Cricetulus griseus: one gene and its partners. The protein of the gene in region 1 purifies or fractionates together with the protein of each later gene. This does not show direct contact. Links are inferred from orthologs where the notes say so. Each region holds a gene or a part of one and is shown on either strand. Other genes may lie near its edges.

Region 1 (3,746 bases):
TGCTCTCCACCTGAAGCCTCAGCCATCACTCTCACTGGCCCGGGCCTCCCTTAAACGAAGCACCGGCTCGGGAAGAAGGGCGGCGGGTTAAACAAAAGCCGAGCGCCCGGCCGCTTTCCCGGCTCGCTGCGGACGCGCCCTGCGGCCTCTGACGCTGCGCGACTGTTTACAAACAACGCGCGGCCCGAGCCGCCGCCGCCTCCAGACCGAGCCCGGGCGCCTTCGCGCAGCGGAAGTGAGGGCGCAGCGCGCCGACAGCGCTTCACGCCGGCTCCGGGGACGCCCCGCTCCCTCCCCGGGCGTCCGCTCACCGGGCTGGACGCCGCATCCCTGCGCTCCGTGCCGCGTTCCCGGGCCAGCCGGCCGCCGCCGCCGCCGCTGGACGAGGAGCGGACGAGCGGCCGGACGAGCGCTCCGCTTCCGGGCCGCAGAGCCGCCATGGCCGGCGCGCGGCGCGATCGCGACAGCGCCGCGGTCCGCTTTACGGCAGCGTCGCGCGGGCGGCGGCGGGCGGCGCGGGCGAGGCCGACCGTGCGCTTTCCCGGAGAGCGGCGGCGGGCGCGCCCGGGGCGGGGCCCGGCCGCGTTTTTCCCCGGGCTCGGAGCTGGGCGGCCGGCCCCGCGGCGGGCGCCGCCTCGGCAACGCTGCGGAAGTGCAGGCGGAGGAGCGCGCGCGATGGCGCGAGCGGCCCAGGTGAGCGCAGCGCAGCGCGGGGGGGGCGCGGGCCTCGTTCTCCCCGCCGCCGCCGCTCCCGCGCGCCCATTGTGAGGTCAGGCGGCGGCGCGTCGGGCCCGGCCGAGACGCCCCGGAGCGGCCGCCGCGGCCAGTAGCTGCCGCCGCCTCCGCCGGCCCCTTCACCGGCCGCCCGGGTCAGACCTAGCCGGGAAGGGCGAGGGGGATGCCGCTGGGGGCCCCGCTCCGGCGCCGCTCCCCGTGACGGGCCGGTCTCCCGCCTCGCCGCCCTCCGCGGCCGCCAAGACCGCCGCCGCCCGCACCTCTCCGGGCTTGGACTGAGTTCTGTGGCCGGCCCGCCGGAAGTGAGCGGTTTGACAGAAACCTGAGAGACGGAACGAGCGAGCGAGCGAGCGTGGGAAAAGCTCTAAGCATGCTTACGGGGAGGCGAGTGACCCAGCTAATAACCGCACTTGTCACGCTTTCTGGCGGGGGCCCGGGTCGGGGCAGCAATGGGAGTCGAGGGGGGCGAGGACTTCGTGGAAAGGACAAGTCCGGTTGGGCCTGGGGCAGAACGGTGGCCCGGTGAGGAGCCCCGGAGAGCGCCCGATGACTTCCACAGGGGAGCCTCCCGCCCCGCCTGCCGCTCCCAGTCGTCCTCTAGGGCGGTGGGAGCAGAGGAAACGGGGTTGACGCGGATGGTTTGGCCTCCGTGAAAGTGTGTGCGTGTGTGTGCGTGTGTGCGTGTGTGCGTGTGTGTGTGCGCGCGGCTCACTTTGATTCCCAGGCCCAGACATCCACCCCAGACTGGACAGACTTCTCCCTGTTTTCGTTTTGCTTTTGAGTCAGGATCTCACTGAGTGGCCCGGGCGGGTCTTGAACTCCTAATTCTCTTCCCTCTGCCTCCCTGGCGCCGGGCGTGTTGGCACATTGTTTTGTGAAGTGCTTTCCCGAGAGGGAGTTAACATGTCACATCTCCTCTTTCCTCGAGTATGTCTTCCAAATCTATAAATAACGACAAAACCTTCCGTCTGTGTGTTTTGGTGCTTGCCCGGGTGCCAGAGTTCAACCCTGCCCCCCTCCCCCCAGACACACCATTTCTGTGGTGTCCTTCTACTTTGTTTTTTTTGAGGCGGGGCTTCTCATGGCCCGAAGCTCCCCAATCGGAGTAGGCTAGCTGGCCAGTGAACCACAGAGTCCACGCGTCTCTGACTCCTGGCACCGGTGGTGTAAGTGAGCACCATCTTGCCTGGCTTTTACGTTTTATGTGCACCGGTGTTTTGCCTGCATGTATGTGTGTGCATCACATGTGTGCCTGGCGCCTGTAGAGGCCAAAAGAGGGGATCAGATCACCTGGAACTGGAGTTACAGGTGACCAGGAGAGGCCATGTGGGTGCTGGGAATTGAACCCAGGTCCTCTGGAGAGCATCCAGTGCTCTTAACCACTGAGCCCTCTCTAGGGCCCTTGCCCTGGCTGTCTTTGCATGTGTTCTGGAGCTCCAACTGGAGCACTTGACTGACAGCTGTCTCCATAGCCCCAATTAATCCTTTAAAAAGTATGCCTTTTAAAAGTGAGTTTAAAGTGGGTTGATCTAACTGTCCTGCAGAGACTGTAATAAGTTACTCTTGCCGTCTTTCAGTGCTTGTGAAACTGAACACAGAAGTATGGATATGGGAAACCAACACCCTTCTATTAGTAGGCTTCAGGAGATCCAAAGAGAAGTCAAGAGTATAGAGCCTCAAGTGGTTGGCTTCAGCGGCCTGGCGGATGACAAGAATTACAAGAGACTGGAGAGGATTCTGACGAAACAACTTTTTGAAATAGACTCTGTAGACACAGAAGGAAAAGGAGACATTCAGCAAGCTAGGAAGAGGGCAGCGCAGGAGACAGAAGGCCTTCTCAAAGAGTTGGAGCAGAATGCAAACCACCCACACCGGATTGAAATCCAGAACATCTTTAAGGAGGCACAGGCCCTTGTGAAAGAAAAGATCGTGCCCTTTTACAGTGGAGGCAACTGTGTGACTGACGAATTTGAGGAAGGCATCCAGGACATCATTCTGAGGCTGACGCATGTTAAAACAGGAGGGAAGATCTCTTTGCGGAAAGCAAGGTACCACACCCTAACCAAGATCTGTGCCGTGCAAGAGATCATTGAAGACTGCATGAAGAAGCAGCCTTCCCTGCCGCTCTCTGAGGATGTGCACCCTTCAGTTGCCAAGATCAATTTGGTGATGTGTGAGGTGAACAAGGCCAGGGGCACTTTGATCGCACTTCTGATGGGCGTGGACAGTACTGAGACTTGCAGGCACCTATCGTGCGTGCTGTCAGGGTTGATGGCTGATCTAGATGCTTTAGACGTGTGTGGGCGTACGGAGATCAGAAATTACCGGAGGGAGGTGGTGGAGGACATCAACAAACTACTGAAATACCTAGATTTAGAAGAGGAAGCTGACAGTACACATGCATTTGACCTGGGGCAGAACCATTCCATTCTGAAAATAGAAAAGGTGCTCAAGAGGATGCGAGAGATAAAAAATGAACTTCTCCAGGCTCAGAGCCCTCCCGAACTGTACCTGAGCTCCAAGACAGAACTTCAGGGCTTGATCGGACAGCTAGATGAAGTCAGTGTTGAGAAGAACCCCTGCATCCGGGAAGCCAGGAGAAGAGCCGTGATTGAAGTGCAGACCCTGATCACGTACCTGGACCTCAAGGAGGCCCTGGAGAAGAGGAAGCTCTTCCCTAGTGAGGAGAACCCCCCACACAAGGCTGTGTGGGATGTCCTTGGAAACCTGTCAGAGATTCAGGGTGAAGTCCTCTCGTTTGGTGGAAACCGAACTGATAAGAACTATATCCGTCTGGAGGAGCTGCTGACCAAACAGTTGCTGACCCTGGACGCTGTTGACCCCCAGGGAGAAGAGAAGTGTAAGTCTGCTAGGAAGCAGGCTGTGAAGCTGGCCCAGAACATCCTCAGCTACCTTGATCTGAAGTCCGACGAGTGGGAGTACTGATGGACCAGGAGCTGCTCCTGCTGGTTCACACTTTATCTGCTTTTAGAGAGCTTTCAGCTCATGGA
Region 2 (3,746 bases), on another chromosome or scaffold:
ACAGTACCCCTCCTGTCGCAGCTTCCTGGTGCTGGGATTACAGGAATGTTCCACTGTGCCAGCTCTCTTGTTATTTCTCTAGGTAACATTGAATATTTCCAAGTGACTGGTTCAGGACATCCTCTGTTGAGCTAAAGGATCCCCTAGTCCCAATTCCATTTTGGGGGCAGGGGCTCAACTGTGTTTAGACAGAGCCCTTTTCAGTTCTCTTGGGGTCAGTGTGGTCAGGAAAACCAGAACACACACATCCGGATAGACCACCAAGAGAAGGCTAAGGTCATCTTTCTCACAGGTCTCGGGCTGTCCAACGCAAGGTTCAGCAGAGGCTCAGACGCTGCAGGGCTGCCAGAGAGGAGGTGTCAGCGTCATCCACTAAACAAGACAATTAGTCATCCCTTTGTCCCTGGTTTTTCTTGAGCACTTTCACAGATGCTGAGTAACGTCAACTTCCTATATACAGCGGCCATTCCGATTTCATAAGTGAGCACGACTGAGGCCAGAACGGCTACTTTACCAATTCAAGGTCACACAGCCAGGAAGTACTAGGATCTGGAACGAAGCCTACTCTCTCTGGCTACAGAGTCAAGGCTCGTGCTCTGACTTCCAGGTAGTTTCTCTCCCTGCAGGAACCAAAACCGACTACCCCCGCTTCTCTAAGCCTGGCAGTTTCAGAAGCTCTCTCCCCTTTGCTCTCAGCTGTGTCCTTGACCGCCATCATCCAAGACTTAAAAACCCAAAGAGTCAATTAACAGAGGTGCTCTGTTCCCCCACAGCAAGAAGCGCCCACGTCAAAGCATTCGGAAATATTTACGAAGCACCTAGTGGGTCCTGAAAAAGATGCACAGCCACGAAGCAAAATCCAATGTCTGCCCTGGTGGTGAACTCAGACAGCAAAGTGAGTGACATCTACCCGGAACGCCAAGAACCCGGCTAATTCCTCAGCAGGAAGTAAGGAAGCCTGAGTACCCGGACTGGGGCGATCCCTCGCCAGACCAGCCTCACCTCGCTTTACAGTAACGGCCTGTACGGAGCAACCGGCAGGAGAGGGTGGGGTGCGGACTTTTATCCCTGGGTGACAGCAGAGGGAACTTGGAGGGACGGGTCGGGCAGCTACAAGTCACCGGGCAGGACCGCCCAGCCGGTCTTCACCTAGGGACAGGGTGCGGCTTCGGAAGAGACCCGCCTCTGTAGCCCCGCCCCCTCCCCACGTCGTCACCAGTCGGCAGTGAGAGCGGGCCGCGATTGGCTGTCTCCACTGCGGAGGCGGGACCTCAGGCAGGGGCGCGCGCGCCCCAGGGAGGCGTTGACCAGGGTAGAGCGGGAAGGGGCGTGGCCTCGCGCGGAAGGCCGTTGGCTGCCGGGTCCCACCCCGGATGTTCTGCGTCACGGAGCGGCCGGCAGCGATTGGCCCGAGTGGCGCGGCGCGCCGGGAGGGGCGGAAGGTTCTGGAGGGCTGGCGGGATCTGGAAGCTTCCGCCGGACGGGTATATAGAGTCCGGGACAGGGCAGCTGCGGAGCCGGAGGCGGCGACAGCTGGGCGGCGGTGGCCATGGGCAAGGACTATTACCAGACGCTGGGCTTGGCCCGCGGCGCGTCCGACGACGAGATCAAGCGAGCCTACCGCCGCCAGGCGCTGCGCTACCACCCCGACAAGAACAAGGAGCCCGGCGCCGAGGAGAAGTTCAAGGAGATCGCCGAGGCCTACGACGTGCTCAGCGACCCGCGCAAGCGCGAGATTTTCGACCGCTACGGAGAAGAAGGTACGCGTGCGCGCGGCCGGGGGTGACCCGCCGTTTGACAGGCAGGGAAACCGAGGCACTCGGGGCCTCTCTGAGGCCTCGGCCCCGCATCGACGGCCCGGGGATCCGGCGGCGGTGCCGCCTCCGCCCTCTGATCGGCGGCCTCAGCCGGGAGGAGGAGCTTTGGGCGCGCCCGCCGCTCACACAGAAGCTTCTAGCACGTCTGCCGCAGCCCCTCCCGGCCGGCGGGCCGGCCGCCTGCACAGCGCCCGAACGCTGCAGACGGAGGGCGGCGGTCGCGATCGCTAGGGTGTGAGATTTTGAAAATCGCCCGAGTGTTTGTTCCTCTGGGCCCGCTAACCCGCAGGCTCAGCGCTTAACCCAGAGTTGAGCTGAGCCTTTCTGGCCGCAGTGCGTAGGAACTTCTCTGTAAGGTGTTACAGCATGGCAGAGAGGATGGGGCTGTCAAGTAGACCTGGTGGCGCCGACAGCTGCAGGCCTTACTACCGAATTGTCACGAAGTGAAAGGGAGTAATGTGTTTCCTGCTCCTGCTGCCATTGGCAGTTAAAGACTTGAGATTCACCTAGAACAAACTTAAAAATACATATAACCCCTCCCACTACGGTTCCCAGGGCTTTTTTTATTAAAAGCAAAACTTGTTGAGCCAGGTGCGGGAGCTCACACACCCCACTTTGGAGGCTGAAGCATTGTTGTGAATTTGCTTCAAATCTGAGCTACAGAATGAGCTCCTGTTTCCAAAAGAGCAGGATGTAGTGACAATCCCAGGTCTGGTATGTCTGAGTCAGGAGGATTGCCTCTAGGCTAACCTGGACTATTCAGCAAGTTCAAGGGCTATATAACATGACAGTCACCGGATCGCACTGTGTAGTTCAGGCTTTTATTTTTACTTCTATATATATGGGTACGTGTATGTATGTATGTTCACTGTGTACTTGCTTCGAGAGAAGAGGATGTTGAATCCCCTGGAATTGGAGTTAGTTGTCTGCTGTTGTGTGGGAGTTGATAATCGAACATGGTTCCTCTGCCATAGGAGCAAGTGCTCTTAACTTCTGAGCCGTCCCCAATGCCTCGTGTTGGAGTCCTGGCTGGTCTGGAACTTGCAGAGATCAACCTGCTCCTGTCTTCGGAGTGCTGGGTTTCCAAGCATTCGACACCATGTCTGGGCTTTCTATTTTAAGGATTTTATGGGTTTGTTGGTGGGATTTTTTTGTTTGTTTGTTTTGTTTTTTTCCCCCGAGACAGGGTTTCTCTGTAGCTTTGGAGCCTATCCTGGCACTCGATCTGGAGACCAGGCTGACCTCGAACTCACAGAAATCCACCTGCCTCTGCCTCCCGAGTGCTGGGATTAAAGGCATACACCACCCAACGCCAGGCTTGATTTTGTTTTGTAAATGTGTTAATTTATTGCAGTGCTAGAAATGGAAACCAAGGGCCTTGACTCTCCTACAGTAACTCTGATTTCTGATTTTGTTTTCCAGGCCTAAAGGGTGGTGGCCCCAGTGGCGGTAGCAGTGGCGGTGCTAATGGTACCTCCTTCAGCTACACATTCCATGGAGACCCTCATGCCATGTTTGCTGAGTTCTTTGGTGGCAGAAACCCCTTTGATACCTTTTTTGGGCAGCGCAACGGGGAAGAAGGCATGGACATCGATGACCCATTCTCGGGCTTTCCAATGGGTATGGGTGGCTTCACCAATGTGAACTTTGGACGTGCCCGCCCTGCCCAAGAGCCTGCCCGAAAGAAGCAAGATCCCCCAGTCACCCACGATCTCCGGGTCTCCCTTGAAGAGATCTACAGCGGCTGTACCAAGAAAATGAAAATCTCCCACAAGCGGCTGAACCCCGATGGAAAGAGCATTCGAAATGAAGATAAGATCCTGACCATTGAAGTGAAGAGGGGCTGGAAAGAAGGGACCAAAATCACCTTTCCCAAGGAAGGGGACCAGACTTCCAACAACATTCCAGCTGACATCGTCTTTGTTTTAA
Region 3 (3,646 bases), on another chromosome or scaffold:
GCTGGGATTTGTTTTTGTTTTTCAGGAGTACTAAACTAGAAAAAGGTGGGATCAGTGGAATGATGTGTTATACTTGTAGGTTTGGGGGTTTAAATGCCATCTTCTGTGTTCAAATACTTTTTCTACAATCACTGAAGCATAATACCCCAAGCAAGGAAGCCTGATTAAAAGACAAAGTAGAGTGGTGTTTCCCTTCTCTGTACTATTGCATGAAAACTTGGCTGCTTTAACTTTCATAAAATGATCACATTTAAGCTTTTTGATAGATATGGAAAATAAATCCATGCTCTTCTGAGTACTGAAATTCCTGGTGTGAGACATCTAGCTTCAATACTGTAATAAAACCGAGAGAAGTGTAGTTTCATGTCAACTTACCAGTTAATAGTAAAATAAGAACCTTAAGTGCTAGCCCTACTTTAATACTTGGACAAAAATATATTAGCCTTTAATTTTAAGGGGGAAAGCATGCCAGTTACCACTTGTAGTTTCTCTTCTTTGGATATTCTCTCCCATTGCTACACACACACACCAGTATCAGCAAGCAGATACTTAAAATATCTGGTGTGTGCATTTTCAAAATAGCAGTCTCATGGTGACTTTTGATAATATCTTCTCCCAGATTCTCTGGATTTGACAAGTCTTTTGATATTGATGTTTGTTGATGGCTCACTAAGCTCTGGCTGTAGAGGCCAGGTGTGCCAGGTTCCCATCAGCAAGGTGCTGTGGGAGGGACTTGGAGAGCTAGGAAGTTGTTATAGCTGTGCAGCAAAGGTAAGCCTTCAGAAGTGCCGAGTCATCAAGTGTTAGCCAGCAGAGGGGCGTTTCCATTGCCTCAAGTTTTCAGTGTATTCTTATCAGGCAGGGCCACTCCTTTCCCTTTGGGCCCCCCACCCCTGCCCCGCCCGCCCCCGCCCCGCGTTTCCAGAGGGGTTGTAAATGCAGTGTGAACTGAGTGCATTTCTTTGGACATTGTCTTAGCAATCCATCTTTTCAATATCCTATGAAATGGTGTGGCTGCAGTATAGTCAGTGGTGAGGGCGTGCCTAGTAACTGTATCCAAGGCCTTAGTTTCGCTAAGAAACTAAGTTCACCTAGAAATGGGAACATTTTGGGAAAAGATTGAAAACCCATATAAGAGATAAAAGATGAATTATATACATTCAAAATATTCTCATTTATTCAACATACATTGTAGGAGAAAGCATCACATGACATACAAATGTAAATGCGATTTAAACTTTGTTGATTAAAAAATTACAGCAATTTGCAAAAAAAATTACAGCAATTTGCAATAAATGTTTTTTGAAAGAATTAAAAGAAAATATACTGATAGTAACAGGGAATACTAAAAAAAAACGGGGGGGGGATTTCCCCCCAGGTTTTCAAAAATCTTTGTCATTAAGTACATATTTAAAATGAGGGGAAATGTGCTTTAAAGTAGTTGTCACCTTGATGCATACCCAGGTTTTAAGCTGATTCAGGGTGAGATTTACTGTGAACCTGAGCCTGTTGAAATGTGAGCCTCCCGAACCCTCCTGCTTTAGGCAAACAGTAACCCTTGGAATGGGATCTTACGTTTCACAATAAGAACACAGACAATGAGCTTTTACAAATAATGAATTATTAAATGTTACCAAAAACTAGTTAAAATCACTCTCCAGTCATTTACGTTAAAATGCTGCTTTTTTATTTTATTATAGCTTTTCAACCATGTGAAATTTCATATAGTGACCGCCCCTCACCGTTCAGATTGAAAGCCCCCTGGAATTTTGAAAATGACCCAAATTATTTGAAGACTTTAAATGTAAATACCTCATGGTTTAGTCCTGCTGTTGTACAGCTGGGTAACTTGAAATTGGAATACCTACAGTAAGTTCAGGGCTTTTCTATTTGTATAATTTCTTTAAGATGGGATACCTAATGGCTTTAATTATTTCTGTTGCCTCTTTGCCTGTGATGAAGTAAATGCATCTCTGGTTCAGGCATTCTGTGCTGAAATACTGGTTTGTTAAATCCACAGGAAATGAGATGGGAGAGCCAGAGGAAAGGGAATGGTTAACCATGGAGGAGGGACAGGCCCAGCACTTTGCCTAGAGGCCGCTGGGAAAGTGACGTCCTGTAGCATTTGCTGTTCTAGAAAGTGCAGAGACACGTAGTGAGAATGGGAGGGCCTAGAAGGAGGCCGTGTCTCTCTAGTGTGGGGTATATTTATCCGTAAGAGACGCTGCCTGCTGCCTGCTGCCTCCAGACAGCGGAGCCGAGTCGCTGATTGCTTTAACTTTTAAGATAGCCAGCTTGCCTTATTTTCTCAGAATCGTTGTATTGCTAAGACTGGAGACGCTGTTTTCTTTTACAAAGGGAAAGCTAAGTTCATTTCAAGGCATTCGAAATGGGGAAAGACTATTATTACATTTTGGGAATTGAAAAAGGAGCTACAGATGAAGACATTAAAAAGGCTTACCGAAAGCAAGCCCTCAGATTCCACCCGGACAAGAACAAATCCCCGCAAGCAGAGGAGAAATTTAAAGAGGTCGCAGAAGCCTATGAAGTACTGAGTGATCCTAAAAAGAGAGAGATATATGATCAGTTTGGGGAAGAAGGTAAGCTGCCCATTTCCCTTCCTTTGGCCCTGAATCTCACCTTTTTCTCTCTCAGCCTCCTGGTTATCTTTAAATTAGATCGGCAGGCATACCTGAAATAAAAAGGGAAATAACTGATTAAAAACAAGGTTTTATTCCTGATTATTTGAGTGAGCTATGAATGAAGTGTTCATGTTTGTTTTTTGTTTTGTCTTAAATAATATTGTATTATACATATTCTACTGTTAGACTTACAGTTTTAGCACCTTATTTTTTAAAAGAAATTTTAATTAAATTCCTGTGCTGAGGAATGAATTGTTTAAAAGTCTTATGCAACCTGCGCTTTTTTAAAAAAATGGATTCCCCCCCCCCCCAGAATTAATAGTCTTCAGTCACTTAAAATCTTAAAATTGTCAGTTCAAATTCTGGGTCCTTTATATTTTATTCAGAAAAACAAGAAGGGTTTTTTTTTTTTTTTTTTGCCTTTTTAGAGCAAAGCTAGTTGAGACTGAACAAGACAGAGTCGTGTGTCTTAGACACAGAAGGCACAGGCATTTAGCGTCTAGTTGTTTTTGGCAATCTGCCTAGAGAAGAAAGAATTTTCCTGATGTCATAAAATACCAGAACAAGTTTTTTAGCTTAATTGTAAACAGTGATTGAGTGCCAGGCAACAAGGTCTCAGAGTTTGGTTTTCCTTTTTAACCTAAAATGGCCACCTGGTTAGAACAAGGTCTGATTTTCCTTGAGTTAACTATCCTTTCTGACATTTTACTATCTATGTGAGAGGAAAGTGTGCACCCCCAATCTTCCCTCCCGAGGTGGGGGGCGTTCCCTCTGCCACACTCTCCCCCTGCCTTCTGAGACTAGAACTTAGTGAGTGAGCACAGGAAACGGGAGACCTTTGAGAGTCTCCTTTTATCGATGTGGACCCTAAACCAGGTTTGTCCAGCATCTCCATGAAATGTATGCATAAACTAGAACCTTTCCATTGTCAGTGAGCAGCAACAGCTGCTTTAACTCATGTGAGCTTGGGTTTTTAAATTTAAAATTGGGACTAACGCACTTTC

Evidence for each region.
Region 2: the proteins of Bag5 (region 1) and Dnajb1 purify together in Homo sapiens (affinity purification with mass spectrometry; 3 studies listed by BioGRID and IntAct, with this or other methods). This does not show direct contact. The link is inferred for Cricetulus griseus from reciprocal best matches to the Homo sapiens genes BAG5 and DNAJB1.
Region 3: the proteins of Bag5 (region 1) and Dnajb4 purify together in Homo sapiens (affinity purification with mass spectrometry; 4 studies listed by BioGRID and IntAct, with this or other methods). This does not show direct contact. The link is inferred for Cricetulus griseus from reciprocal best matches to the Homo sapiens genes BAG5 and DNAJB4.

The regions. Positions count from the first base shown.
Region 1 is NC_048598.1:182,323,106-182,326,851, forward strand, and holds the start of Bag5 (BAG family molecular chaperone regulator 5), read left to right. Parts: upstream 1-932; 5' UTR 933-1,105; coding exon 1,106-1,119; intron 1,120-2,312; coding exon 2,313-3,681; 3' UTR 3,682-3,746. Other genes in the region: cytochrome c oxidase assembly factor 8, read right to left, coding at 312-440. UniProt on the Homo sapiens protein: Co-chaperone for HSP/HSP70 proteins. It functions as a nucleotide-exchange factor promoting the release of ADP from HSP70, thereby activating HSP70-mediated protein refolding.
Region 2 is NC_048596.1:160,786,816-160,790,561, reverse strand, and holds the start of Dnajb1 (dnaJ homolog subfamily B member 1), read left to right. Parts: upstream 1-1,446; 5' UTR 1,447-1,549; coding exon 1,550-1,760; intron 1,761-3,239; coding exon 3,240-3,746. UniProt on the Homo sapiens protein: Interacts with HSP70 and can stimulate its ATPase activity. Stimulates the association between HSC70 and HIP. Negatively regulates heat shock-induced HSF1 transcriptional activity during the attenuation and recovery phase period of the heat shock response.
Region 3 is NW_023276806.1:7,154,280-7,157,925, forward strand, and holds part of Dnajb4 (dnaJ homolog subfamily B member 4), read left to right. Parts: intron 1-958; exon of another isoform or gene 959-1,869; intron 1,870-2,312; exon of another isoform or gene 2,313-2,358; 5' UTR 2,359-2,389; coding exon 2,390-2,600; intron 2,601-3,646. UniProt on the Homo sapiens protein: Probable chaperone. Stimulates ATP hydrolysis and the folding of unfolded proteins mediated by HSPA1A/B (in vitro).